Linked DNA regions of Mytilus edulis. The protein of the gene in region 1 purifies or fractionates together with the protein of each later gene. This does not show direct contact. Links are inferred from orthologs where the notes say so. Each region holds a gene or a part of one and is shown on either strand. Other genes may lie near its edges.

Region 1 (7,861 bases):
CATCACTTACCCAATTCAACAGGATAAATTTGAGTGTTCACATCAAGAATCAAGTCCATCTTGAAAGATTCTGACTCACAAAATAATCTGGATACTGAAATAAAGATAAATCATTATACACATTGTCATCAGGACAAAAACTTTAAAAATTAAAACAAACTATAATAAAGAAGAATCTGACATCTCTTTAAGATATAATTTATTTTCATACTTCATAAATTTGAATAGTTGCCAGTGAAATATTTTCTCTTTTCTATAAGTGCTGTGAATTATATAAGACATATAATAACTCCAAAAACACTCTTATCCAAGATAAACAAAAGAAACACTAATAGGATTACTGAAATATGATAACTTGTGTGGAATATATAACAAATGTTATTTGGTTGTTTACATAGGGAATCACTGAATCATGTCAGTGGGTCTCCCCTTTAAAAAAGTTCTAGATCTGCTGCTGAGGGTATATATCTATGAGATGATAAAACAACAACACATCAAAATAAGTGAAATCTAAAGTTCAAAATTTGACCTTCCACAAATCACAACAAATGTTTAAAAACATTTTAAGCTCTAATGCAATTTTCCATGATTCAAGAATCTTCTGATACCAAATTTCCTAAATGACAAGAAGATATATTAAACAAACAACCATGGCACTGATGAGTAACATGGTGAAAAGGAAGACCATGCAAGGTTTAGCAGAAAATAAAATTAATCAAATCACTGTGCAAAATACATGTACTAGGTGTAAAATATAAGTTGTATTCATCCATATTGAAATCAATAATTATGGATTGCTAAATAAAATATCTGGTTTAATGCTTTGTAATGAGACATGATTTTTCTAATCAGTTACAACAGCTCTTCTAATGAGAGCAGATGATCTAAGGAAGAAAGATCAAATATCAGTGCATGCCAGTAACCTTGTCATGTTTTGATTGTAGATTGTGTACTTCTTGACTTTACTGTTATTATCTTCAGGTAACTATTGATACAGTAATCAAAGAAATTACCGCAAAGAAAACTCAACATGCATGTCTTTTGATATCATTTTTCTTTTCCCTTTTCACATATTTCTGCTTGGTTAAAAAAATATAGAGGGAAAGAATGGTTTATTTTCCTCAAATTTAATTTATTTTAAGTAGAGCAAATGAAGAACCATTCCCTTTTTATAAGTTGAATTGCACAAAATGATCTTCTAGTAATAATTAACTAAAATATATGCAGTTAATAAAATAGAGACTCAGGCATACATACTTGTCTATAAGATTTCCTTTATTTTTCAAGTTTTTTTTTATTTAACAAAAAATAAATTGCTGATGCTCTGCACAACTTTGGTATACATGTACATGTATGTACACATACCAAATACCATATTGCTATAGTCTTGTTTATAGAGTATTCTTGATAACTGTTGATAAGTATGTACCCTACAAAAGTCAGAAGGGGCAAACCTTAAAAGTCCCATTAAATTATTAGGTAAAAGACAAGAATGATGCCACTCTTCAATAATGCCCTCTTTCAAAAAAAAAAACCCTTATACATAGTAACATACAAATGTATGGTAATGTGTTTTTGTAGAACATTCACTTCACATAAATAATCAAGAGTGAATTAACAATTGTTTAATAAAATATTACAAATAAATTAAGAAGAGTTTGTTGAGGTGTAATAAAATATATAATAGAGTAATGGTAAATATGAGAGGTGAATGAACTTGTCAACCCACAGGTAACATACAGGTAAGTAATGTGTATTCCCTTTCCTAGGCAACCAGTGCAAGATCCAACATGTGGCTTCTGTCAGAAAAATGTCAGTGATGGCAAAAAAAGATTATGTGTTAAGATTAAAAAACAGAGGACAAGACAAATACTCTAATATGCTACAATTTATATTGTAATTGAAGTTATGCAGTATATATAGTAATGACAATACAATACTATTGTCAAGTGATTGATCAAAAGGGGTGGTTACTATCATGTTCCAGCCTGTTAATCAGATCAACTTTAAATCAATAGCAGATAACATTGATCATATTATTTCACTGCAATATCAATCATCATTTATCATGGTTTTTTTTTTTTTATCTTTTTGCATGAAATAATAAGTGCAATTTCATGTATAGAAAGAAATTTCCAAGACACCAAATTAAAACACATAATTCAAAGCCTTACTTGTACTGGTGTGAGGTCACAAGTCCTGGGTCCACAGTCTACTTCTAAATGATCTCCAAAGCATACATCAGTTTGCATCTTTAGTTGAGGTTTAAGTGATAAAATCATGTCAATTTCTGATATTTACAGATCTTCAGTAACATTAACAGTACCAATCTCTTCTCTTGATTGTGCCAGAATGAAGTACTAACAGTCGGCAGGGGGTTTTGTACTTCTTTTAATGTGACAAGCCAATCACATGAGAATGGTCTGACATGAACAAACATGTTGTCAAAAGACCGGGTACATGCTGGAATTCCAACGTATGAACCAAATTTCTGAAGTTTTTTTTCGAAGAAATTAAGAAAAGAAAACATTGCTTATAGCTTCAGCTAAATTATCACCTTGGCTAATTTCCAAATATTGTTGGAATCTAAAGGAAAATGTCACGTTTCACCCGGCAGACGCCATCTTGGAATGTCATTTGCCGGTAAATGAGATTGAACACGTTTGGACAGCATTCAACCTTAGTGACAAGTAAAAAAATATTTGAAAAATAGTATTTTATTTGGCTTACCTCTGTCGAACTTTTTCCCATCAGGATCAATGTCTTTCACATCAAAAATATCTTCAAACAAAACTCCAGCCATTGTTTGACGACAAAATTAGCAGTCAAACTTTATTTCCTTTCTTGTCCAAAGATCGTTTTTCTTCGCAAAACAGGATATTTCCAGTGTTAGAGTAGATGTTCAAGAATACCAAAATACAAATTATAGGGCTTATATTGTTCTTATTTAATCAAAATTAACGTTTAATGTTTGCTAATCATGCTAATTGAAACCGGAAGTGGCAATTGAAATACATTTTTCCTACTTTCATTATTAAAGAGTTCACACTACGTGACACGCCCACTTTTTGATAATTTTCGGGGCGACGTATGGGGGTCTGATGTAATGTGCGCAGAAATAACGATGGTCAAGCGCGAATGATGTTACGTTTTTAATTCTTGTCAAATCTATTAACTGATTAATACACTAAAGTTAGCAAAGCTTATAGCTGGGAAAATAATACATTTTCTCTCAAGATAAAATATGATCATTTTTAAAAAACTTTGATTTAATTGGCGGAATTTTATTATTGGCTGCTTAGCATCCAGTGGCAAATATTTCAATATGACAATTTCCAAATTCATATCAAAAGTTTTCTGGAAATGAAGAAGTGATCAGAACTGTGAAAAATATATTGAAACATAGAAATTTGATTTCCTTAGTTATGGTAACTATCATGACATCATAGGTGTGTTAGGAAAATCAGTCCTTTCTAAATTTCATTTCTTAGACAGTCCTTTATTCCATTTCAATTTTTTATAATGAATATTTGAATAGTTAAATAATGACACTCGAGACCTCTAGTAGCAAAACATTCCCATTTAAATTCTTGAACGGAGAATTGGTCCTGTGTTTGTTTACCATAACTTCAAATAAAACAATGCATACATGAATTTTTTTTCAGAACAAGGAATTTTCCTGTAGTCTTGTAATAAAACTGAGACAATAGGCATTTTAACCTTTGCATATAAGTCGATGGATTGTTGTAGCTTATATTGAACTGGACATAAATTATACTAGTAAATTATTTAACCATATGGGCCTTATATGAGGGGGAGGACAGGGGTAAGGGAGACAGGGAGAAAGGGGGTAGGAGAAAGGAGAAACGGGGTGGGAGAAAGGAGAAAGGGGGTAGGAGAAAGGAGAGGAAGGCTGGGAGAAAGGAGAAAAAGTTGGAGAAAGGAGGTAGGAGAAAGGAGAGGAAGGCTGGGAGAAAGGAGAAAAAGTTGGAGAAAGGAGAAAAAATAAAATATCTCTCCTCTTAAAAATTTTTCTAATATTTCAAGAAAAAATATCTCAAAAGGAGATGTTTTATTCTAATGGGAGAAAGGAGAACGGGGGTAGGAGAAAGGAGAAGAGGGGTGGGAGAAGGGAGAAGGGTACCCCCTGTCCTCCCCCTCTTATATACTATCCATTAGAGTTCCAAAAACACATTTGACCTGGACCAATTAATTAAGCAGTGATATTTGCACGGCTGACTGGCACTACGGCTTACTATTCGAACTTTGAGCAATGAGTGTACATACGTATAGTGGTATCTTGTTTCGTCACGTAGATGCATGAGCCTTTTCATGTTTTTTTTTTATTATGTGATAAGTTGGCTTGTTTTAGTGATTATGTGATAACCAGACCAAATATTTCAGTCATGATTATTTATTTGATAATCTAGGACGGTTTTTGATTATTTGATTATCTTTGTAAATAATTTTATGTTTTGATTGGCAGTTTTCATTATGTGATTACTTGCATGGACATCTCATGAGGGTTAATCAAGCGTGGATGGTACTTTGCCCCTTCTTACAATGTAAATATTCAATTACATTTGTTAAAATGATCCGTATTTGGAATTTAAGCTGTACAATGTAAAAACCCTTTTACAAGGCGGGATATCGCCCCCTCATTTTTACGTGAATGTTGTATAATTAGAGCCCGCGAACTGAAACGATCTACGTTAACTCATTGGTTCTATGAATACACTTATCCTTAAAGGTTATCGTTTTATCGATCACTGTATAAGATCTTTGAAGGATTTAACATTGATTTGGTTATTATTGAGTTAAAATATACCTAATTTGTAAATATGCTTTTGTTATATACAGCTATGAAAACTTGTCATATTAGATTTCTCCTTTGAATTGCTTTAAACTTGTCATATCGGGACCGTTTGGTTTTGCCCATAGTTGAAGGCCCTACGGTGACATATATATAGTGGTTAATATTTACGTCATTTGGTGGAGAGTTGTCTCATTGTCAAAAATACCACATGTTCTTGTATTTATCTTATCATATGCTCCTAGTTATATTACACTGTGTCTAAACCACACCGGCAAAATTTGCTCGGACTCGATGGTATCTAACATCCGGCACAATGACGGAACACCAATAGACAAAATAAAGGTAGGTTTCTCCTTATTTTTTTATTTTTTTTATGATATCGAAGAATAAATATACATATACAACTATTTTCTATTGTGAGATGCAATATTTTCTACAACCGTTCTATATTAACGGAGAAATAAGTCAAAATGCATGTCAAAATGACGAATTGAGTGAACCTTGCCTCGAAATTGTTTAATTTCTCGTTAAATTGTTCACATTGTACGGAAAGAAAGGTACGGGAAGATAGATATTGACACGGAGATTGCAAATTTAGTTATTATGAGCATCTCCATAATTGTATCTCTGTGTATGGAACGAAAGAAATGGGTCATGTCAAAATGGAACTGGCCGGTTTCGTCAATGTATACAACCCGGTTTCGTCATAGATTTCAAAATGCATAACCCGGTTTGGTCAAATAAAAAAAATCATAATCGCATTACATTTTAATTGATAATTAAACTTCAGCGTTCAAAAGGAGTTTTGTGGGTCGTTGGAAAACAATGTTCGTTCACCGGACAACGGCTTATTATTTATATGAGTCTCAGATTCAAATAAATGATAAGCAAAAACTTGAATTCCTACTCTTATAGAACACAAATATTTTAATTTACTCAGTGTCAGAGTGACCTTTTTCATGACGTCTGTGGCCACTTATTGTTTTTAATTTTTTCCCACAAAAACAGCAAACAAACACATTTTGATCATCGGTCCTGTTGATTGCAGTTGAAACAGCTGATGAGTTTTCATTGATAAGTTCATGAAATGACTCATCTAATGCCTCAATTGTAACGTTTTCTGTCATCTGAAATAATAAAAAACAACAGATTATTTTAAAATGTCTATCAACATGAAAAGTTCATACAAATTCCAAGCGACAACAACCCGACCATAGAGCAGAAAACAGCCGAAGGCCACAATGGGTCTTCAATGAAGCGAGAAACTCCCGCGTCCGGTGGCGTACTTTAGCTGGCCCCTTAATAAATATTTATACTAGTTCAGTGATAGTGGACTTCATAGTAAACTGCGAATACATGTATATTTATTATATTTAAGGGATAATTTTAACTACGATACAAGTTTCGGCACACATCGCGCATTTACTATACAGGCTCTGTCATCGGACGAGTTAAGGTTTTTCATCATTTTTTATTATTTGTACTTTTGTTGTACTGGTTGTGTCAGCGACAACACTTTGACTCAGTCCATTCCCGAATCACACGCTTGTAATTCCATGGGTGTCTTTGGTTGCTTTATACCATATGCGTTTTGAACATAAAATAGGCAGGTAGTTTTCTTGTTTGAATTGTTTTACATTTATAATATAGGGCCCTGTTGTAGCTTGCTTTCATGCAGTTTGTGTGTTTTTCTCATTGTTTAAGGCATACGCTGACCTAAACTTGATTAATTCAACATAATTTTTGTGTCTAAAAGAAAGTTGTCTCATTGTCAATGTTTATGGGATAAGTGGTTACCGTCACTTCTTCTTAATAAGACCTAGATATAAATGACGATCGTGTTTTGCAAATCAACTTTTATTCACATTGAAAATACAAAACTGTCAGATATTGTTTTCGAAAGTTATCTTAAAGTTTCAATTGAATTTGAACTGTACAAAAAATGAATTTGAACTGTAAAAATAATGTGAAAAACATGCCTATGAAAATAAATGTGCCTACCAGAAAAGGAATGTTATGGATGCTTGAGTGTGAAAACTCGCTTTAGTGCGCAAGTAACACAGTATATATAGTACCAGAAAATCTGGCAGGACTGCATGCATGATTAATTTGTGCAGAACAGCATAGACTATAGTCGGTTTGGGACTGTTCGTCAATGATTGAATGCATAAATGTATAAATAATTGATAGTAAATATTGTAAACTAAGTGTATATAATATAGTACTAGTATAGTAAATTAAAATTATGGCACAATCAAAACACATCCTTTTATTTTTCATCTTTACATACTACTATTATAAACAAAGAAAATATAATAATGTTACAAAATAATTAGATACCAGTGCAGTATTTATATTCCTTTTAAAATTAGTTTGAAGTCAAGTGAAATAAGGGATACGCCTTTCATTAGGAAAATGTGTATTATCATAATTAACTATGTCCAAAAGTTCCCGTTTAAAATAGATTTTAACACGCCAAGTTTACTTTACAATAAATATATATTTAAATTCTCGAAAGACAATGTTCCGATCCGTGCCAAAGTCTCTTTTCATAAATTGTTTGTTAAAAAAAAACAAAAAAAAACCGGGTGATATATATAGACGAAACCGGGTGATTGTGAAGTAACAACATTGACGAAACCGGTTTATTTTAATTTGATATGGCCCTTTTCTTTCGTTCCATACACAGAAACACAATTATTGAGATGCTCATAATAACTAAATTTGCAATCTCCGTGTCAATATCTATCTTCCCGTACCTTTCTTTCCGTACAATGTGAACAATTTAACGAGAAATTAAACAATTTCGAGGCAAGGTTCACTCAATTCGTCATTTTGACATGCATTTTGACTTATTTCTCCGTTAATATAGAACGGTTGTAGAAAATATTGTATTTCACAATAGAAAATAGTTGTATATGTATATATATTCTTCGATATCATAAAAAAAATAAAAAAATAAGGAGAAACCTACCTTTATTTTGTCTATTGGTGTTCCGTCATTGTGCCGGATGTTAGATACCATCGAGTCCGAGCAAATTTTGC
Region 2 (7,683 bases), on another chromosome or scaffold:
GTAGAATGAGAAAAATCATTCTGAAAAAAAGTATACAGCTAGGAAACTCAGACATGTGACAGAGGTTGAATACAACATAAACATAAATTTATACAAATTATGATACACTGCCATCGCTTTTATTTCTCATCCTACAGTCAAATCATTCCTTCAATTGCAAATGTACTCAATGCAAGCACAGTACAGCATCCATTTTGCATTATAACGTTTTAAGTGTTACAAGAAAATATTTCACTGTTGCAAAGGCAGTCTGCACCAAAAACTTTTTCAACTACTAGTCCGAAGACCAATATTCTGACATTTTTCTTATTTGGCCAAACAAAGTTTTGCAAAAACTCACTAGTCCAAATGAAATTTTACTAGTCTGGGGCATCGGACTAGTGGCTAACCGTGCAGACTGCTGAAAGGTATTTATTTTCTGTGAAAAAGGTTTGAGCAGGACTTATTTATTTATTTCTATGAAATATCTTCATTCAAAACTAATATCACAGGGACTTATTTCCCTCTTTTTTCTTATTTTTACGAAGTCCCCAATTACGGTAGAAAAATCAATAAAAAAAAAAAATGAAAAAAAATCGGGAAAATTTCCCGAATTTTTCATTCTACTAATGAACTCAAAATCGTTAACTTTTTATTTCAGATCTAGTCCCTGTTCCGGTTTTCCCCGCATTTGCGCAGAAATCTGTCTTGTTTGCATGAGACTTTGAAAAGAAAATTATATGTGAGCCAGTCCATGTGAACAGGTACAAAAACGAAAAATTTACGAAATTCTAAAAAGTGTGCATAATTATTGGTAGTAGACTTGTGATTTATAAAACACATTTACTTTCCCTCATATCATCAAGCTGTGAGCTACACGCACCTGCGAGTGTTGAGACCCCCCCCCCCCTAGTTTTATCAAGATTTTTAGTGAATTATTTCATATATTTCAATCATTTTCAAAGTACAGTTTAAATGGCTTGATTTGCCAATTGATAATGTTAAACCTGGTAGCAGTGGGGATAAGGCTCTCGCTTACGATGCGGATAACAATGCAATCAAACCGGGCAACGGTTCGAATCCCGTGCAACTAAGGTTGATTTATATAATATTAAATAACTTAACTTAACTTAAATTTCAATTTCTAAAACACAAGATGTCATAGTTTTTGCATTTTCCCTCATGTTTTAATGTTGTCTTTCTTTCTTTAAACCTGTAGAACTGACGGAAATTATTGACTTTTGTCTCTGAAGTGTCATAATTTTTTGTAGTTTCTGGTCGGTATAGCATTAGTCCGGGGAACAAATGATTTTACACTTGCTCAAATACCAAAAATTCAGATATTTCTACGTCTTTTTCGGTTTTAGTTGACAAATTCGGGATAGAATTGACAATCTTATGAATGTTTACATTAATGTAATTTTTTTTCGGATAAAATCGTTTTTCAAAAATACTATAACAAACTTTGATAACGTGTCCTGTAAAGTTTACCAAAAGGACTTTTTGTACCTTTTCGCATGGACTGGCTCATGTATCAGTCTAGTAAAATATAAGATTGGAACTCAATACAATTTCATTTTAAATAATTGTTTGATTTGAAAAAAACGTTACCTGATGGAAGCGTTTCTTTTGTTTACATTGAATATGACGTCATAATTTAAACAACGTCACAGCTAAATCCCTAACCACAGAACCGAAATCGGGAACGTTACGGTATTTCCGTTTCCTTTATTAACATGTTTGAGGTAAGAAAATAATACATACAGACTTTGTCCACATTCACAGGTTATGCCTGCCTCATATTATGGGGACGAAGTCCCCAATTACGGTAGAAAAATCAATAAAAAAAAAAAAAAATCGGGAAAATTTCCCGAATTTTTCATTCTACTAATGAACTCAAAATCGTTAACTTTTTTTTGTCAGATCTACTTCCTGTTCAAGTTTTCTCCGCTTTTGCACAGATATCTGTCTTGTTTGCATGAGACTTTGAAAAAATTTATATTTATCAGTCTAGTAAAATATAAGATTGGATCTCAATACAAATTCAATTTTAATAATTGTTTGATATGAAAAAACGTTACCTGATGAACCATTTCTTTTGTTTACATCGAATATGACGTCATAACTTAAAGAACGTCACAGCTAATTCCCTAACAACAGAATCAAAATCGGGAACGTCTACGTACGGTATTTCGGTTTCTTTTATCAACGGGATTGAATTCAAAAAATTAATACATACAGACTTCTTCCCCATTCACAGGTTATGCCTGCCTCATATTATTGGAACAAAATTCATAGAGCTGTGATTTTTGTTCTGGAACTTGTAAACAACAAATGACTTATTTCACATTTGATAAAAAAATTAGTTCCAGAACAAGTTTCACAGTGCTTCTGTGATATAAATACTGGTGGAACATATTTCCTATGAAATTTGTTTCGGATGGAACAAATGTCTGACACGCCTGAACAAATATTTTGTCACACATGGATCCCCCTTTTTTTTCACTTTGGGCTCGTATGGATAGTAAAAATAGGTATTGTAATCGACTAGTAATGGATTGTTGAGACTTTATATATGTCGATACAGTGTAGATAACTTTTTTTAGTGAAAAAGAAAAGGGGGGTGCATGCCCCAAATATCTGTGTACTGAACTGGCTTTACATTGTCTCATGAGTTTTCGTTTATTTTACCAAATTGATTTTTCGGATGAAATGGATGTCTTGTCCCTTACCCTTTGAGTTCTTATTAGACTCCTTTGAGCCAAATTGTGGTCAAATGTCCTCCTTTTACTTCTAGCGGTGTTTTAATAATTTAGACTGTTAGAGGCCGGCTGCTGTCTTAGCTATAGCTTTTAAAACTATTATCAATATATCTAGACTACGCATGTTCTAAAACTTACCTCAACACTTTTGATAGGTGCTGAAAGATCTGTTTTGTCAGAGGACGACATATCTTTAATAAATAAGTTTATTTTCTCATATTTTACATTTCGTCATGGGCGCAGACATCTTTTTTTGATCTCCCTAACGAATGACCCACACTCGTCCTACTGCAATATCGTCCCAAAAGTTCACTCGCTTAATATCAACTGTCCCACTAATGTAAAAGACTTAAATCCCGCTATAAAATTCTCCGTGAATGAAAGACGGATATATCGGTTAAGTAATGAATGTGAGTAAAGTTCTGCTTAATAAAGGTAGGCTAACTTGCACCATTTATAAAACTACAGTAGATGCTCTAAAGAGCCTGTGTCGCTCACCTTGGTCTATGTGAATATTGAACAAGGGACACAGATGGATTCATGACAAAATTGTGTTTTGGTGATGTTGATGTGTTTATAGATCTTACTTTACTGAACATTATTGCTGCTTACAATTATCTGTATCTATAATGAACTTGGCCCTGTAGTAACAGTGGAAAATGTTAGTAACAATTTACAAATTTTAACGGAAAATTGTTAAAAATTGGCTATAAAGGCTGAATAACTACTTAGGGGGTCAATTGACCATTTTGGTCATATTTGACTTGTTTTGAGGTCTTTCTTTGCTGTACATTTTTGCTGTTTACAGTTTATCTCTATCTATAATAATATTCAAGATATAATAACCAAAAACGTCAAAACTTCCTTTAAATCACCAACCAGGGGCAACGGGTTGTCCGATTCATCTGAAAATTTCAGGGCAGATAGATCCTGACCTGATAAACAAATTTACCTGTGTCAGATTTGCCCTAAATGCTTTGGTTTTTGAGATATTAGCCAAAAACTGCATTTTACCCCATATGTTCTATTTTTAGCCATGGCGGCCATCTTGATTGGTTTGCCGGGTCACCGGACACATTTTTTTAAACTAGAAACCCCAATGATGATTGTGGCTAAGTTTGGTTAAATCTGGCTTAGTAGTTTCAGAGGAGAAGATTTTTGTAGAAGTTAACGACGACGGACGACGGACGCAAAGTGATGAGAAAAGCTCACTTGGTCCTTCGGGGTCTAGTTGAAGGTTTTGAATTCTCAAAGATCTTTAATATGCTGAATCTAATTATGTGTAAAGATTTCGAAATTTGAGCCCCGTTGTTAAATAACTGAGGCTCATTTGAATTTTGAATTATTGTGTATCTTTGATATATATGCCTTATCTAACCGTATATTTAGACTTTTGAATATTGGACCTGCTTTCAAATTGGTCCACATTAAGGCCCAAATGGTCCAAAGGGTTCCAAAGGGTCTGAAAATAAAACTTTGTTTGATTCTAACAAAAAAATTAATTCCTTAGAGCTGACTCTAACCGTGTCTATTGATTTTGGAATTTGGGCCCTGTTATCAAACTGGTAGACACTGAGCTCAAATGGGTGAAAATGAAACTCGGTTAGATTTCATAAAAAATATAATGAACTCTTTGGGTACTTTGATATGCTGAATCTCACTATGTATTACAAATAGAATAATAGGTAGTTTCGTTTTTGATACTGACTATATCATGTGGAATATCTAGACGAGCCCGTTAGGACCAATTACCGATAAATCGATATATCACTATTGCCCGCGTCACACTGTCCCGATTTTTATATACGATGGACACACGAATGCGAAAATTGTAAGTTCGTACGAAGTTGGTCCCGATCTCGTTAAAATACCAAAAAGTGACTGAAGCAAGTACGATGAATAACGAAGTCTGTACGATGGTGCCGAAATTATATACGATAGCAAAAGATGGACATACGAAGGTTAACCGAAGACGGGTATTTAAGCTTCATATCTCAGCCGAAGCCTACACGATGGATCACGAAGGCTACACGATGGATTACGAAGGCTACACGATGGATTACGATGATGGCGCGATGGCCATACGATGTCTAAAAGACGTCGTGTACAGCTTACAATGCATTTACGGCATCACGCGTTTTAAATTGTTTGATCAATATTGAATATATAAATATGCATATTCAATTTACCATTTTCTGTATGTGTCATATACAAATATAGTGTCCATATTTGTCCCCAATATGTTACATACGAGGGGATGCCACGCTCGGCATTGCCTTGTTTGAACTGTAAAATGTGTGCACTAGTCTGAATAATCACCCATAATTATGCCCATGTTTACTGATCTATCTTAAAGGTAAGGTAATGGGTTCGTTGATCCCTTTTATTCAAAAATAGCTCTTTCCAGGAGAATATCATAATAATATAGACAAAAGGGAGGATGTGGGGAAAGCAACAAATGCGGCAAAATGTGACATATAGAAACATAATGGTTATGGAGTAAACATTCTTGTGACAACAACTCAGTCGATACATAAAAAATCAGAATAATGAAGAAAAAGTTGGTTTCCCTATATACGTGTACCTGCAGTGTTGGTGTACGAGGCGCATTTATGATTTTCATTATGTTACTTGATATGAAAAATTGACAAAAAATAATATTTTACTTGTAAATCCTGAGCCTGTAACAGTTGCTCTTCTTGTTCCGTTTGAATTAATAGAAACAACGCCGCTGTCGACTTTCTTGTTCTCATAGTATCATATGATATGAGCTCCATGTTTTGTGAACGTCTTCCTTAACTGTCGTATTAGACTGACCAGTGCATATCGCGCATGGCACTTTAAATGTATTTTAGCGCAAAAATTAACTTACATTTAGCTGGATTTATTGCCGTCGTAGTTCCATCTTGTCGCCTTCGTACTTTTATTCGATGGCAACACGACGGGATTACGAGGTCTTCACGAAGTCGTGTTGCCATCGTAAGACCTTCGGGTAGCTTCGTGATTCATTCGTGTAGACATCGTAATGTCAAAACTGCCCGATGGAAACGATGGAAACACGAATGCAATACGATGTTCAAAGATGCATTCCCGGTGACATTACGATGGTGAGGATGGTGATACGAACTCAATACGAACCCTCAACATCGGACGCACCTTAGGGGATTTTTTAACATGTTAAAAAATTTAGAACCCTTCCCGAAGTTGTCCCCGAAGGCTAAAAAAAAGTGGCCGATGGTTCTACGATGGTTAAAGATGGCACTACGAATAGCCCGATCTGGATACGATCAGTCCCGATTTTGAAAATTTCCATAATCGTGTTGTCATCGGCGTAAAAATCGGGACAGTGTGACGCGGGCATATGTAAAAGCAAAAGTATTTGGTATTTTAAATTTTAATAGAATGCATGCATTGGAAGATTTATACGTTAATTCGAATATGAAAGTGAAATATGCGAGCTAATAATACGTGATTGAAGAGTCATTTTGTTGGGATGTCATTTTTAAGTCTAATTCCATAAAATGAATTTTTAACAATTTGTTGTGTCATACGGTGATCCTGGTATAAAGGAAGTTTTTGTTCAAGATCATAAAAAAATGGCCTAAAAAAATATCTAAATTCTTAGAATAGTGATTTTTTGACTTATTAAACAAGAAATTATTTACCTGTGTAGTGGTCTTCCATTCTTTTTCGATCTGTTGTTTATCCAGCTTAAATTCTCCAATAACAGCATTTGTTTGCCTTGTTTGTTTGACATAACTGTGACATATAGTATATGGACACTATAATTATTATTTCAACTTGAATATATTTTCTTTATATCATTTTCCAATAAAAAAAATAAAAAGATGTGGTGATGATTGTCAAGAAGAAACTTCATACCATAGACCCAATAACGTGGATGTTAACAATTATACGTCAACAATAAAATAATTCCGTATCGCAAAGCAGGGGCGGATCCAGCCATTTTAAAAAGGGGGTTTCTAACCCAGGACAAAAGGGCAAAAAAAAAGGGGGGGGTCCAACTACATACACCAATTCAAATGCATTGATCGTCCAAAAAAGGGGTTCTTACCCCCGAAACCCCCGGATCCGCCACTGCAAATTATCATTGTCGGTCATAAAAGCTCAGAGAGCTTATGTTTATTTGTTATGTAACATGCCGACTATAAATAAAGCTTTTGAATTGAAAAAAGTGAGCTATAAAAGGTGCCGAAATGACAAATGTAAAACAATTCAAACGAGAAAACTAACGCCGGTCTGATTTATGTACAAAACAAGAATGTGTCCATAGTACACGGATGCCCCACTCGCATTATCATTTTCTATGTTCAGTAGACCGTGAAATTGGGGTCAAAACTCGAATTTGAAGAAAAAAAACTTTAACCTGAAGCGAACGGACGAACGGACGCATAGACGGACGGAGGCACAGACCAGAAAACATAATGCCCCTCTACTATCGTAGGTGGGGCATAACAAGTAACAAATGAAAACCACTGAATAACAGACTCCTGACTCTAGACAGTCACATACAGAGTGTGGTGTAGTTTTTTGCTGATGCCATCTCTAATCCTGTAACCTCGGACAGTGATGTAACAACAGTTCGACATAAGGACGACATTTTGCGGAGTCATTTAATACCTATCCAACATTACTGTCCAATTTTGATCAGCGATTACATACGATCATAGTGTACGTACATTCTTCGTTTGATTTATTTATATGCCCAACTATGGTTATCATTTGATAAAAATTGGACTTGAAATTATCTTATCCTAATATTTTGAAAAATCCATATCAGACATTAGAGGTTCCGACAGGGTTAACACATCAACTTAACAATGAAAACCTTCGTTACAAGTTTACGTCGTACTCTGTAAAATAGTTTTACATATATCGTTCATTTGTTTACTTTATTGACAACACTGTAACCTGTACAAAA
Region 3 (7,781 bases), on another chromosome or scaffold:
GTAACCACCAACTCCATCAATAGCATTTATAATTTCTTTGTGGGCTTTCACAGAATATACAGGTAATTCCATTGACTCTAGGTTCCTATAAACAACAATAAAACATATAAACCAGATATACTAAATTCACCATCAGGATTTTGGGGTTTTTTTTGTCTTATGTTTCAAGGGACAAGTAGTATAGGATAAATGTTCACACATTGATGTTTAGGTCAAGCAACAAATTAAATGCTTAATTTTAAGTCCACAGAAAGACTTGACACATTATTCTAACTATGAGCAAACCAGTCAGCATTCTTTAATCTTGAATAGGCCTTAGGCATGTTAGGGACATTGTATTTTTTTTCTTATAGCAAATAAGATTATCTGTAATTTGTAATACATTAAAAATATTTAATTTACAAACCATATCTGCATTTTTCCATCGAAGTCTCCTGTTGCAAAATATCTTTGCTGTAAACTTGATGCTCCAAATGTTCCACATTTCAAAGCTTTTGATTTCTCAATCTGTTAATAAAAATTATATAGCAGATTCATATATATATATAAAATGTACATGTATGTTTTTTGTAATGCATTTAATGAGAGTATCACAAGATTTTATATTATAATACATTGTACAAAGGTTTATCTGTCTGGATATAATGGAATAAATGTATTGTTCAGTTTACTTGAGAGAAAAAAAAACATGATTACTACCAAATAGCAAAATTATCAAAATAAAATCTACATGTATTTCATCTTTAAATGACTATTTAAATGAACAAAATTTCCATTTACTTTTTAGACTGAGTGACAGGTCAAATTTAATTAAAACTATTATATGAAAATGAAATTAGACCACATATAATCAAAACCAACACATAAAATTCTGATCCTTGCTTGTACATGTTTTAGGTACAATGTATATTAGACTTTTCACACCAGGGGTTGGAAAACCAGCATGGGAAATTGTGGGTAGGCATACGCCTCCATGGGGTAAAACACCAGCAAATAGTGACAGTTGGCCTGGCAGGTACATGAGGTATGGGTAGGAGCAAACCTGTGAGGTGTGAACATGTTTTGGAAGTGAACGGACCCACTTGAATATACATGTACCAAAAAATAACATAGGTGGATCCAGGGCCCCCCTTTTCATGGAAAAAACTGTGGTTGATTATATAGGAAATCGCCCCAAACTGGTTTATCAAATCGCCCCTCTTTTTAAAAAATCGCCAACTTGTGAATGGGTTAAATCCCGTTAATAATGTTAATATTACTCCTGCCTACTCGCCCCACTTAATGAAAAACGTTATGCATATGGAACTAAACACATTTATTTCTAAAAAAACAGTTGTTGGCATGACACGGGTTATGTTCTTCTCATATATTTTATGATAGTATGATACTAAACCCCTAACGGGAGGGATTGTACCTGATATTCATATGATGAAGACATAATCTTTCAATCAGTTTAATTGAGGTCTGGAGCTGGCATGTCAGTTAACTGCTAGTAGTCTGTTGTTATTTATGTATTATTGTCATTTTATTTATTTTCTTTTGTTACATCTTTTGACATCAGACTCAGACTTCTCTTGAACTGAATTTTAATGTGCGTATTGTTATTCTTTTACTTTTCTACATTGGCTAGAGGTATAGGGGGAGGGTTGAGATCTCATAAACATGTTTAACCCCGCCGCAATTTTGCGCCTGTCCCAAGTCAGGAGCCTCTGGCCTTTGTTAGTCTTGTATGATTTTAATTTTTAGTTTCTTGTGTATAATTCGGAGTTTAGTATGACGTCCATTATCACTGTACTATTATGCATATTTTAGGGGCCAGCTGAAGGACACCTACGGGTGCGGGAATTCTCGCTACATTGAAGACCCATTGGTTGCCTTCGGCTGTTGTTTGCTCTATGGTCGGGTGGTTGTCGCTTTGACATATTCACCATTTCCTTTCTCAATTTTATTTTATACTTTTGTAGATGTGCAAACCTATCATCTGAGAATAAAATTATTTAAACACAGATGATTCTTGACTTATTTTATAAAAAAATGAATATATTTACCAGGGAAAAAAATGTCACATAAATGCTGATTCTACCTTCTTTCTGTTTAATTTTTACCATGCAAAAGAAAAAAAAATGCATTTCAAACGTTCTCATAAGTGGGATGAATTGGAAAACCTACACTCTTTACAGTTTTATTATTTTATTCATATGTTGGGCTAGTTTGTAGTCATAAGTGGGGGGAGTTGGCATTGCTAAATTCATTGTGTTTTATTTATTTGTCATGAACATGATGAATGGAGCGAGGTGCCAGACCGTATTTCAAAGATATTTTAACCCTTTACATAAGTGGGGTAAGTTATCCAACCTATTTTCAATGGGATTTTACCCTTTTTAATGTGCCCATTTCTAGTCAATAATTATAATTAAATAAGTTTCCTTATTTTTGTATTCTGTGTAGATTAGTCTCATATTTACAAAAATGTAAGTGGGTCGATTTGGCAGATAAAAAATTATAAGTGAATCTAAATATTACCGTTTTTCATTAAGTGGGGCGAGTTGGCAGTAGTTATATTAACGGAATTAAACCTATTTCACAAGTGGGGTGATTTAAAAAAAAAAATGGGGCAATTTGGTAATCCAGTTTGGGTCGATTTTTTTAAGTGGGTGGTTTTCGTGAAAAAGTAAGGCGATTAGGTGTTGGGGGATTTACCAGTGGGAGATTTGTCATGGATTCGTCAAACAGATAGCGATAAGGTTCAACTTTAATTTTCCAATTTAACAGATTTAGACTAACCTGTTGTAGACAACATACATTACTACAAGAAACAGATAGTTGGGAAATTTGTTCTTACTTACATCATGAACTAGTTTGACATCACCATGTTGTACTTCATAAACCTGAAATGCTCCAGTTCCGCGTGCATGGTTACCGAGTACAATAAATTTTGCGCTACACGGAATCCATTTTGTATCAAATAATGTGTAATTTACTGGTTTCTGTACATGGGAAATAATCTGTGGCTTCTCCATTTTGTTTTAAAACACTTTTAAAATAAGAAAACTTGTAGAAATTCGATTAAACCCAATCTTGTAGCAACATGAAATTTCTTTTTCTTTCGCGAACTTTAACCGGAAGTGAAACTTTCCTACCTTATTGCAGAAGAGCTCTATAAATAAAAACAGGTGCTGCTAAAGTCAGTTAACTCGATACTTTGCCTTTGTTATGACACTTAAGTAGATATTTTAACATTTCTCACTTTAATATTATGTAGATAGATAATTTTCTGACAGAGTGATTACAAACCCCATCACACTATCATGACTATTCACTGATTTAGTAATAATTTGATATTGTCAAGGATTTGTATAGTGATATTGTCAACAAACAAACATGTGCAGCTGGAATAAATTTTTGTTATGCCTAGTGGCTAGAGCTAGTGGCAAGCAGAAATGACATGAAGCAGGTGCTACCTGTTGAGAACATAAAAGTTATTAGTGCATGTTTATTTTGCTTTATATAGTGGATTTCTTGACCTGTATTATTTTGTCAAATTTACCTCCACCAGACAGGCAACTTGGGCAAAAAAGGTCTCTTTCCTGTCTGTCACTTAGCTTTGCTGACTTGTCAAAAGGGAAATCTAGTGCGCCTGTTATTGCCCAAGGGTAAAAACTTAAATCTAGTCCCCCTGTTGTTCACCCTATTCGCTTTCAGTTGCTTTCGTCATCAGGAATTTGATTTTTTTACCAAATCCATCTATAAGTAAAGATGGGGGGGGGGGGGGGGGGGGGGGGGGGGAGGGTGCATGGTTCTGAATACAGATCCATGTGGAATAAAATTTGCAAAAATGACTTGCATTGAAAACAAAAATCAGGAAAAGCTATAAGCACCAGAAATAAAATAATAAATATTAATGAAAATAGTGCTAGAAGTTATGTAACTCAGCTGTTCATGGAGATCATGCAGTCATTATTAATAGAAATGAAGACCTTGTGGTTGCCTTTTACCATCTGTTAGTTGTATTAGATTTAGGAAAAAAAAATGTGATTCATTGTAATTTTATGTACTTTAATTTACAATATTTATATAGCACATTATCTAATTAAAATTACTCTAAGCGCTTAACATAAAACAATCAATGCAGTTAAGAGAGGTGTTTAAAAACATAAAAACAATCAATGCAATAAGAATGAAATAAAATTTTGAACACATAAAAAAAAACTTTACTGCATACAGTACATGTATATACATATATACCGTAAATACATGTATACCATATCTGGTCGACTTAAATTATTCTGGTTTACCTTTGAATTAAATGCATGACAAGCCAGAGAAATAATAAGTACAGACATAAAACACAAAAAACAAACAAGGGGGAAAAAGGAAGCATGCACATCGAACCAAATATGGGGGAAATGATAAATAAAACATCGAAACACATAAGCACACGAAATAAAAAGGCAAAAAATTATGCACGGAAATAAAACTTTATCACACTCAGTAAAAAATCAAAGATATAAACATGTATATCCGTAAATGATTTATTTTCTTTCAAAAAGAGGTTAAAGCATTGAATTAACAGTTCATGAATAATTAAAGGAACATACAATAAACTTATTATTTCATAAACGTAAACATGATAAAATCATGAAAATAGATGTGTTAGTAATCCAACTTGAAATAATTTTGTTGTTGCAGAAATTGTAATTATAGAAGAGAATGTCTAGCACTATATCAGTTTCCAAGAAAAGAAAATCTACATTAGACACAACTGCTTCATATTCAGTAAATAATGCAAAAAAGAATAAGATGTCGAAATTACCCAAAAGTCCAGTCGATGAGTTACATATGATGAGGAAGAAAGAGCAGGTTGAAGAGTCAGATACAACATCTGAGGAAAGTACCGTTGAAGAATCTGAATCTGAAGGTTCAGATGCACAAGAGGCTGAAGCTGATGAATTAGTAAGAATTAATAAGTTGCATAAGTTAAACATTTGTACAACTTTACTATACAATGTATATATATATATAGTTTATTTTCACAAACTGATCCACGCTTAAATAGATTGAATGTTGATTTTTGCTATTTTTAGACATTATATAAAATAACAACTTGTTAGGATTTGTGATTTCTTCTACTAGTTAAAATCACTTCTCACAGATATTTGTTTGAAAGGAGTTAATAAAAATATTGTTTGCCTCAGAGTTTAGGAGAAATCTTATTCAATAAACTATATACATTTCACAAACTGGCCTTAATGTACATTGAAATTCTATAAGTGAACCAAGACCTGAAGTGGTAGAGTTAAAACAAGTGAATACTGCTAGGTATAATTCCCAGTTATCTTTAAATAAATAAGAATGTCGCCACACAACTTGCACAAGACAAACTGTCATTGTTCAATTACTCTAAAGATAGACACAAAAAGAAATTATATTTTGTACAAAACTTTTGAATTGTACTACATGTATAATATTAAAGTATAAAAAAAAAATCAACAGGAAGCTTCAAGCCTAATGGACAGAACAACAGATTACAGTAACATTAACACCTAAGAAAAAACAAATTAGAGGTCATTTTATATGTACAAACAAAGACAAAACCAAAACAAACAACATATGGTCCCAAAATAATATGTCTTCTCAAGGAATTGCATTCATTATCAAATCAATAGTTATTGTTTTTATTTTTTGTTTTTAGGTAACAGTTAAGCAAGGTAAGTTACATATATATATATATAAGGCATCAGTTAGACAGCAACCAAACAACAAAAATATCCAAAAGGCATCTAGGCAGGAAATGAAAATTACATTTTAAATTTATTAGTTTGATGTATGGAAGACTTTTCTGTAATTGCCTTCCTCAGAATGCTATTAACGAAAAAGATGCATAAAATGCTTCGAACCTAAAAAGACTAATAAAAACCATATACATGTATGGTTAGCTTTGACTCAAGGAGTTGGAACAGAAGATTCTGTATAATTTCTAAATTTGTCAACCACACTGACAGTTTTAAGAAATGTATAATAAACTATGTCAATTGCAAAACAATGACTATTGAGCTAATAATATTCTTGAGAACTAACCACCAGCAGCTGTATCAAAGTTGTGCTGAAAAATGAAAATAACATTTCATAAATTTGGTGGCCTGAAGCAGTCTTCTGGATTAACTTTCATCAAAAACATTCCACACCAAATTTAAATGCCAATGATGGGTAAGAAGAGTGATATACTTTCAAATTAATTTATAGGATATACAATTTGGTTTCAGAATTATCAAATATGTCTTTTGAAGAACTAATACAGTTGAAAGAGAGGCTTGGTTTAAAAGTGTAAGTATATTATTCTTCATTGAGATAACAAAAAGTCTCCTTGTACTTGAACTTTAACGCATTTGTAAAGTGTAAAAAAATCTTCAGTTCAAATTTTTTATGAAAATGTCAAGAACTTAAAAATTCCTGGATTTGTGATTTTCTGTTCGTGGTGATGCTCAAATCATCAGCGTAACAAAGCTGAAATATACTCATGCCAACTCATGTTCACTGTGGCCTTTAACCTTGAATTTTGTAATGATATTGATAAAGCTTAACTCATATTCAAATGTATTGTATCTGTGTATTCAAGTTGAATGATTTTAAAATGAAATAGGTCTAGAAAATTGAACCATATAAAAGTGTACCCACTCCAACTGTGGGCTGATTGGAATTGACAAAATCCAAATAAATTGTAAAATATCAATGTTATTTTTTTTTTTTACACAATGTGAATATTTTCAGATATAACCAAGTAGTACATGGAGATAAAGTGAAGAAGCCTACCTCTAAAAGAGTTTTTAAAAGAGAAAATAAGAACAGGTAACACTATCCAATAGCTAAAAACTCATTAAATTGAAAAAGGCAGTAAATATATTCCTTCCTTATTGGTGCAATTATTAAATTTTGTAAATACACAGGACACCTCAAATGTGAAGTGAACAAAATGAATCACTCCATGTGCATCATAACTTTTGATTTTTAACTGGATTTTTGTGACAAAAATGTCGGTTATTGATTTGGGAAAATACGCCGGGCGGTCGGTCGGGCGGGCGGCAATCAAATGTTGTCCGTGCATGAACTCATGAACCAATCAACCAAAGCTTTTAAAATTTTAATATGTTGTTACTGACAACTAAATGAAGGTCAAGTTCAATAATGGCGATTTTGACTCTTACAGTTCAGGAGTTATGGTTCTTGAAAGATTGAAAAATGGAGTTTTCAGTCGTGTCTGTGCATTTACGCATGAACAATTCAACCAAAGCTTTTAAAATTTTAATATGTTGTTACTGGTGACAAAATAGAGGTCAAGTTCAATAATGACGATTTTGACTTTTACCGTTCAGGAGTTATGGTTCTTGAAAGATTGAAAAATGGAGTTTTCAGTCATGTCCGTGCATTTACGCATGAACTGTTCTACCAAAGCTTCCCAAATTGTAATATGTTGTTACTGATGACAAAATGGAGGTCAAGTTCAATAATGACGATTTTGACTTTTACCGTTCAGGAGTTATGGTTCTTGAAAGATTGAAAAATGGTGTTTCCAGTCGTGTCCGTGCATTTACGCATGAACCATTCAATCAAAGCTTTTCAAATTTTAATATGTTGTTACTGGTGACAAAATAGAGGTCTAGTTCAATAATGACGATTTTGACTTTTACCGTTCAGGAGTTATGGTTCTTGAAAGATCGTAAAATGGCGTTTCCAGTCGTGTCCGTGCATTTACGCATGAACTGTTCTACTAAAGCTTCCCAAAT
Region 4 (7,099 bases), on another chromosome or scaffold:
CCAAGAAAATAGGCATCCTACTGCATCGGGTAAAATTATTCTTAGCTAGTTTGTATTTTTCTGTTATGTTCCTTAGCTTTTGGTCACAGTGTAGTTTAAGAACTATTGGTGGTCCCGTTCTGATTCTGCTCTTTACCATTCTCAATTTTATACAATATTTGTTGGCATTTAAATATTTGGTTTTATTGTTGTTACATATTGAAGGTATATCAAGAAAAGATGCTCTACAGTAGCATTTTTCTATTCGACAGCAAAAAAATTTTAAATTTTGGTCGTATATTGGTATCACGTTAGTGTCAGCTTCGCCATCGCAGTGTTAAGGAGGTAATCTAATTTAAAGTTAAAGAATACTGTTATAAATATGTTTGATTACTTGATTACCTCCCTTACAAAGCTTGAAAATTATGTATTAAGAAATGATGATTGTCTTGAGATGTATAGCTGTAAAATTTTTCTCATTTTAGATTTCAGAAATTAAAAAGACTTTTTCTTCAAATATTTTTTTGGGAGGGGATTAATATTCAACAGCACGAAAGCAAAACAAAAATTTTAAGTTCATTAGACCATATTCATTCTGTGTTAGAAACCTTTGCTGTGTCAACTATTTAATCACAATCCAAATTCAGAGCTGTATCAAGCTTGAATGTTGTGTCCATACTTGCTTTAACTGTTCAGTGTTTCACCTCTGCGGTAGTAAAAAGCTGCGCCCTCCGGAGCATCTGGTTATCAATTATTTTGAATAGAACTCAACAGAGGTAAAAACAAATAGATTTCATGGATATTGAATTTTTACAAAGAAATAAGTCTCAGCATATGAGCAATATGTGCTACTGGTAATTGTAATTAGATAACACTTAAAAAGATCAGCCATTAATAATTAATGTAGATTATAGCCAGTAGATTTAGAACCGATAAATGACAAGATCTGTGATAATCCTGGCATTCAATTTTAGCTGTTATTTGACAAAAAAAAACCTGCTGTTATCTTTGGAGGTAGTTCATTAGATTTGTATTCTTAATCAGAATGATTAATACATCATTCACTGAAAATTTGGTAGCACTGGTCTTTCCCATGTTATCAATTGACAGAAACATTTCCAAAATTTAAAAGAACCTGTGTGAGCATACTCACATACCCCACGCCCCCACATTGACAGAATCTCACTAGATTCATAAGTTCAAAGACTATCTTCTCCAAAAGTCAACTGATGAACATTTCTTGTGATAATTATCAACAAAGTTTTATGAAATTCTGTTGTGTATATTTACAGGAGTTGCGATGACAAACTGTTGCAGTAGTATATTTAGGCAAATAAGTGCAAAGGAAAAAAATTAACTCCTAATTTCTTGTCGATATGCATTTCTACATAGTATGTCCTTATTATCTATAGATAAATTTTCATGAAATTCGGTTGTATGGTTTCAGAGGCGATTTGATGACAAGAAAAGTACTGACAAACAGACAGCCAGACTGACTGGTCAAAAACAATATACTCGGACTCTAAAATTGTGTGGGGTATAATTATATCTTATTTGAATGACAGTAGTTCAAAGTTTATTTTGCAACTAGATATCATTTAGGTAATAACAACTGAGGGGAATCACCAAGGTGAAAATAAACATATATATATAATCAGACATCATGGTCAAAAGTGCGTAGAGGCTCTAAAGAGCCCATTTCGCTCTTCAGGATGAATGTACATTTTTAGTAATGTCAGAACATAATAACAGAATATAATCCCATGTATAAAGATCTCTATTTATTTATCTTGTATTGCTGATGACTTTTCTGTTTTTAGTTTCTATCTACTCTAGTTTTGCCAAACACATAAATAAAAGGGTAGACATCATTATTTATCGCAGTAACTTTTTTTTTTAAATGTTGAATTTTTCGACTTTGTTTGGACTGCTTGTACAGTAGGTCTAGTCTTTTGATCATTTTTGCTTTTCTATAATTTCTCTCCATCTTTATATATAACTATTGCTCAACACAGAAAGAGGGCTTACTCTTCATTTCAGGGCAGTAATAGATCATATGTATAAAAAAGAAGATGTGGTATGATTGCCAATGAGACAACTCCCTACAAGAGACAAAAACGACACAGAAATTAACAACTATGGCCTTCAACAATGAACAACACCCACACCGAATAGTCAGCTATAAAAGGCCCCGAAAAAACCATGTAAAAGCAATTCAAACGAGAAAACTAACAATGTGTCAATTTTGTCGTGTTGCTATATTTACAGATCTTGTTTTGCTGGTCATTTTAGCTGTTAGTTTATAGTCTCTCTTTATCGACTGCTTTTGGCTAAATGTACAAAATATAGGTAAACATAATCGCTTAGGGGTAACAACTTATTTATACAGTTGTCGACTGACAATTTGGAACATGTAGACACATGTAGATGTCTTGTTTTGCTGATAATAATCAAATGCGCTAAACAAAGTGGTAAAAATCGTCATTTATGTTGAGAAGTCGTCACGTCACAAAAAAAACCCAAAAAAAAAACCAAAAGATTACACAGCACTAGACAAAATCCAAATCCAAGATCATGTATCATTGATATTCCACAATGGCCAACCAAATCATGATTGCGTCTGTAAAACTTTCGAAGGGATAAATTCAACTAAACCACTGGGAACACATAATACAATTGCTTGACTATAAGCAGAAACCCTCTACCAAGAAAATGATAGGATACGCTAGATCTAGAATGTCTTCTCGACTTGGCAATATATACTCAATATACGTGAGGAACTGATTGATTGGTGTAACCAAGAAATTGAAAGATAACAATGGGAAAACTAAAGTTATATATTAAAATTCAGCATTATGGTTATGTCTGTTTCAGAGAAAAAAATCTCGAATCAGAGTATTTGTTCTCACAAAGTATTATTTGTTCCTTCCTTGTTAAAACAGATATGTGTTGGCCATTCTGTTTTATGAATCAGTTTTAATATTTCTTCAATCTGTCTTTATGTTATACATATAAAGAAGTAGTGTGTTGTCCCTAAATGATGATGTTCAAATGTATTTGATATTAATTAATTGTGCATCAAGAGAGGCATTTTCATTGAGTTCTCAGTATTCATATCTATATCACCACCTCAGAGCAGCCCGTTTCACATTAACTTTTTGTTTGCTGATAAAATGTAGAATAATAATTTGGGGAGAAATTTCTTGGAGCTTGATGTGACAGTACCAGCAGGTTGTTTGTAAGTTATTTTATTTTGATATTCCGGCCTTACAGTGAAAAAAGATCTATAGTTCTTCATTAATGATTGTAACAATTGTTACTTTTATTATAAAGATGTCAATGTAGGTTCCAATAAAAACGGTTTTGTCTTAGGTCGTTGTATGCAGGAGCAATTCAACTTGTCATGTTTGGATCTTTGAAGATATAGATGATATTCAAATTATTCAATATGAATAAAAAGAAAAATAATGTAAGTATTTTTGAGACGACATATAGTATACAGATTAATGTTAATTTCTAGTTGCGACCTTAACTGTCTTCATGTACAGTACATCGTCCCTACATATACCATTCAATCAGAGACATATAATACAAGAGATTCGCAACTATTGTATGATATGTCTCTGATATTATATAATAGAAATTTAAATTGTAGCCTTCTACCCATGCTAACCATTGAGAAAAAAAATATAATAGTAGATGTTTTTAATGATAAGGACTTATAAAACTTTCTAGTCAGTCTTGCAAAAGTAGCAGAACACCATGCCCCCGGCAGACATGCAGTCGACTGTTTTATTGAAATTGATTCATTTGAAAATTAAAACCTTTCAAACCTTTGAAATGTCTTATTAGTGTCCACCGTTTTTGTTTAGATAAGTTCAATGTCCAGGCAATTATTTTTGAGAACCTACAAATTGTATGAAAAAATATTCTAGTCTTTTTTATACAGTTTTGATCTTGAAATTTTATGTTGAGTTGCACAAAATTTACAAGAAAAGCTGGTATCTTACGCCTTTCTTCAATAAATTATTCCACCGTTAAGGCACAATAACGTACGTTTGTATTCGATAAGTCGTCGGACTTCGGCGTACGTCTATGCCAGAAGCAAGTCTTACCAAAATAAAACGAAAGTACAAAGTGAAACAAGAAACAATGTGGAGATCAACGTCGAGATGACGCTTATAGAAGACAGTTGATGTCAAATATGTGCTAAATATTTTATCTGAAGGTATAATTAATGATGATATTTGAAAAAAATAGGCAGGACAGGAGTTTTGAGTAAAAAAAAGGCAAATCAAATCAAATCAAATATATTTTATTGTCAATTAAAGACGCCCATTACAGGCAGAATAATCACAAGTTAAATTTGGTACAATGATTACAAAATGATTACAATTATTTGAGTACAATTAAATCAATGATTACAACGAAGAGAAAAGAAAGACACACTAATGTATATTTATAAAATGTGTGACACTTGCACAAAAAAAAAAGTCAGGACGACAATTTAGGTAAAAAAAGTCAGGATAAACTAAAAAAAAAAGAAGGCAGGACCGATTAGAGTGAAAAATAAAAAGGCAGGACAGAGATTACAGCTAAAAAAAAATGCAGGTCAAAATTTTTCATCCTAGCCCCCCCATATAAATCAAATGGTAGCTAGCTCCCTTATGACGTCTGGCAAGGCTATTTTTTTTCTTTCTGAGAGGCGTCCCAGAAAAAAAATTAAAATAGCCTTGCCAGACGTCATAATTATTTGTACTATATCTGCGCGTACCCACATCCGGTTTTATAATGAAATGTCATCAGATCGGGAATAAAATGTGAAATATATACAGAATTTGACGTAATTAGTGAATAAATTGACTAAAACTAATCAGAAGATTTGTAAATATTTATATATAGGTAAGTGAACAGTTTTTAGCTCACCTGGCCTAAAGGGGGTATCTTATTTAAAAAATGTGTCAGCTGACCCAGCCAACCAACCAAGATGCCAACCATGGCTAAAAATAGAACATAGGGGTAAAATGTAGATTTTGGCTTATAACTCTGAAACCTAAGATTTAGAGCAAATCTGACATGGGTTTAGATTGTTTATCAAGGCAACATCTATCTGCCCTGAAATTTTCAGATGAATCAGACAACCGGTTGTTGGGTTGCTGCCCCTAAATTGGTAATTTTAAGGAAATTTTGCCGGTTTTGGTTATTATCTTGAGTATTTTTGTAGATAGAGATAAACTGTAAACAGCAATAATGTTAAGCAAAGTAAGATCTACCAATAAGTCAACATGACCAAAATGGTCAGTTGACCCCTGAAGGAGTTATTGCCCTTTATAGTCAATTTTTAACAATTTTCATATTTGGTTAAATTTTGTAAATTTTTACAAAATATTTTCCTCTGTAACTAAAGGGCCAAGTTTATTATAGATAGAGAAAATTGTAAGTAGCAAGAATGTTCAGTAAAGTAGGATCTACAAACAAATCACCATCACCATCACCGAAACACAATTTTGTCATGAATCCATCTGTGTCCTTTGTTTAATAAGCACATAGACCAAGGTGAGCGACACTTAAGAGCCTCTAGTTATTTCAGTTAATAATTATTCATTTAAAAAATTGAAAAGAGTTATAAACATGTGGGTAGACATTCCATTGGTATCATGAATTAGAACAGTTGATTAATTTTATACAATTAAAGTTTAAGGGACGACATCAAAAGTTCAATGTAAGAGAAAAAACTTAATTCATATACCATAGTTTTTCTCTGACCACCTAACACCCCCCCCACCCCATTTAAACAAAACTTGCAGGAATTATAACCCCACCCCCAAACTATTTGAATTAAGTTTTTTATTTTCCATAGATTTTTTGATGTCGTCCCTAACAGAATACATTTTTCATGTAATGTCATGAATGTAATGGAGGCAAAAAATTCCAAACAAATTTGGTAGGAAAAAGGCCTAATACAAAGTATTTGTTTTAAAGTGCAGTATTAAATCGAATTTGCCACGTTTTATACATTAGTCACATCTGAGACTACTATGTGTTATAGTAGTCTCAGGTCAAGTTTTTTTTATGTCAAATACTTCTAGTTTTACTATTTTAAACCGTTCTTAATATAAAGGATATATGTATGCCTACTTTTAGTACATTTCAAATGGATTGTCCTTTCCACTTTAAACTTGGCATGACTAAAGATGGACAAAACCTGATTGCGAGGGAAGCAAAATGTTTATTTGAACATCTTCTGTTTTACATTTTACTAAAACATTTAAAAAAAATCTCATATGGGTATTTTTCAAATTCAGTAAAATTTAATTCTTTAAATTTGCATTTACATTTTATAATAGTATTCATTTTTATCAAGTTTTTTTTTTTACAGGGACTGTACAGTCTCATTTTCCATCAAAGGATGTGCATTTAATTTGCAATGTTTATTATGTATCATTATTAAATAAATACAATTTGAAAATATATTTTTTCATACTCTTCACTCTTTCTACACGAGATCCCCATATTATCGATAATGTCCGTTTATATTTCATGTTTCATTCTGGATCCGATGGCATGTTTTATAAAACAGGATGTGTCACTGTGTACCCGTAGCCTACGAATGGCAAGTTGACTATTCGTACCCAAATGTGGGTACGCGCAGACACTGCCTTTAATTATACCGAAAGAGACAACAGATATAAATGTTGGGGTTAATTAAATCAACTTTCGTTATATATGTGAAGAAAGACAACTATACTGTTTAGCGTTTGTTTCATGTGTATTCTGAATGCTTATAGGCTACATCCTGACTGGTGTCAAACCTTGATACATAAGGTACATATGAAAAATGTGACATGGCAACTACCACAGTATTCTCCAATCCTGTAGCTGCATTTGAAATTTTGCAATATATTGACGTTTGTGGTCAAATAGTTTCACTGGCAAATAGTTAAACGCTTGCACGTTGAAAATTAATCAATATATTGTGTACTGACTTTATATATAGGAAATGATAACTGAGGTACATGTATAATAAGGACATGTATGGTGCCAGGCAAGGATTTGTATTGGCCTTGGACGAAATTTATTAGGTCCCATCTTTTAGGAATATATTAGACTTGTTAACTAG

The links.
Region 2: the proteins of DNA-directed RNA polymerases I, II, and III subunit RPABC3-like (region 1) and DNA-directed RNA polymerase III subunit RPC2-like purify together in Homo sapiens (affinity purification with mass spectrometry; 5 studies listed by BioGRID and IntAct, with this or other methods). This does not show direct contact. The link is inferred for Mytilus edulis from reciprocal best matches to the Homo sapiens genes POLR2H and POLR3B.
Region 3: the proteins of DNA-directed RNA polymerases I, II, and III subunit RPABC3-like (region 1) and dynein axonemal assembly factor 10-like purify together in Homo sapiens (affinity purification with mass spectrometry; 3 studies listed by BioGRID and IntAct, with this or other methods). This does not show direct contact. The link is inferred for Mytilus edulis from reciprocal best matches to the Homo sapiens genes POLR2H and DNAAF10.
Region 4: the proteins of DNA-directed RNA polymerases I, II, and III subunit RPABC3-like (region 1) and DNA-directed RNA polymerase III subunit RPC8-like purify together in Homo sapiens (affinity purification with mass spectrometry; 5 studies listed by BioGRID and IntAct, with this or other methods). This does not show direct contact. The link is inferred for Mytilus edulis from reciprocal best matches to the Homo sapiens genes POLR2H and POLR3H.

The regions. Positions count from the first base shown.
Region 1 is NC_092348.1:81,823,399-81,831,259, reverse strand, and holds the start of DNA-directed RNA polymerases I, II, and III subunit RPABC3-like, read right to left. Parts: upstream 3,020-7,861; 5' UTR 2,804-3,019; coding exon 2,731-2,803; intron 95-2,730; coding exon 11-94; intron 1-10. UniProt on the Homo sapiens protein: DNA-dependent RNA polymerase catalyzes the transcription of DNA into RNA using the four ribonucleoside triphosphates as substrates.
Region 2 is NC_092353.1:3,000,253-3,007,935, reverse strand, and holds the start of DNA-directed RNA polymerase III subunit RPC2-like, read right to left. Parts: upstream 3,013-7,683; 5' UTR 2,931-3,012; coding exon 2,880-2,930; intron 1-2,879. UniProt on the Homo sapiens protein: Catalytic core component of RNA polymerase III (Pol III), a DNA-dependent RNA polymerase which synthesizes small non-coding RNAs using the four ribonucleoside triphosphates as substrates.
Region 3 is NC_092346.1:9,760,872-9,768,652, forward strand, and holds the start of dynein axonemal assembly factor 10-like, read right to left. Parts: upstream 3,021-7,781; coding exon 2,847-3,020; intron 508-2,846; coding exon 407-507; intron 86-406; coding exon 1-85. Other genes in the region: ribosomal RNA processing protein 36 homolog, read left to right, coding at 4,711-4,953, 5,693-5,708, 6,264-6,324, 6,769-6,846. UniProt on the Homo sapiens protein: Key assembly factor specifically required for the stability of axonemal dynein heavy chains in cytoplasm.
Region 4 is NC_092352.1:85,911,510-85,918,608, reverse strand, and holds the start of DNA-directed RNA polymerase III subunit RPC8-like, read left to right. Parts: upstream 1-4,080; 5' UTR 4,081-4,207; intron 4,208-4,769; exon of another isoform or gene 4,770-4,881; intron 4,882-7,099.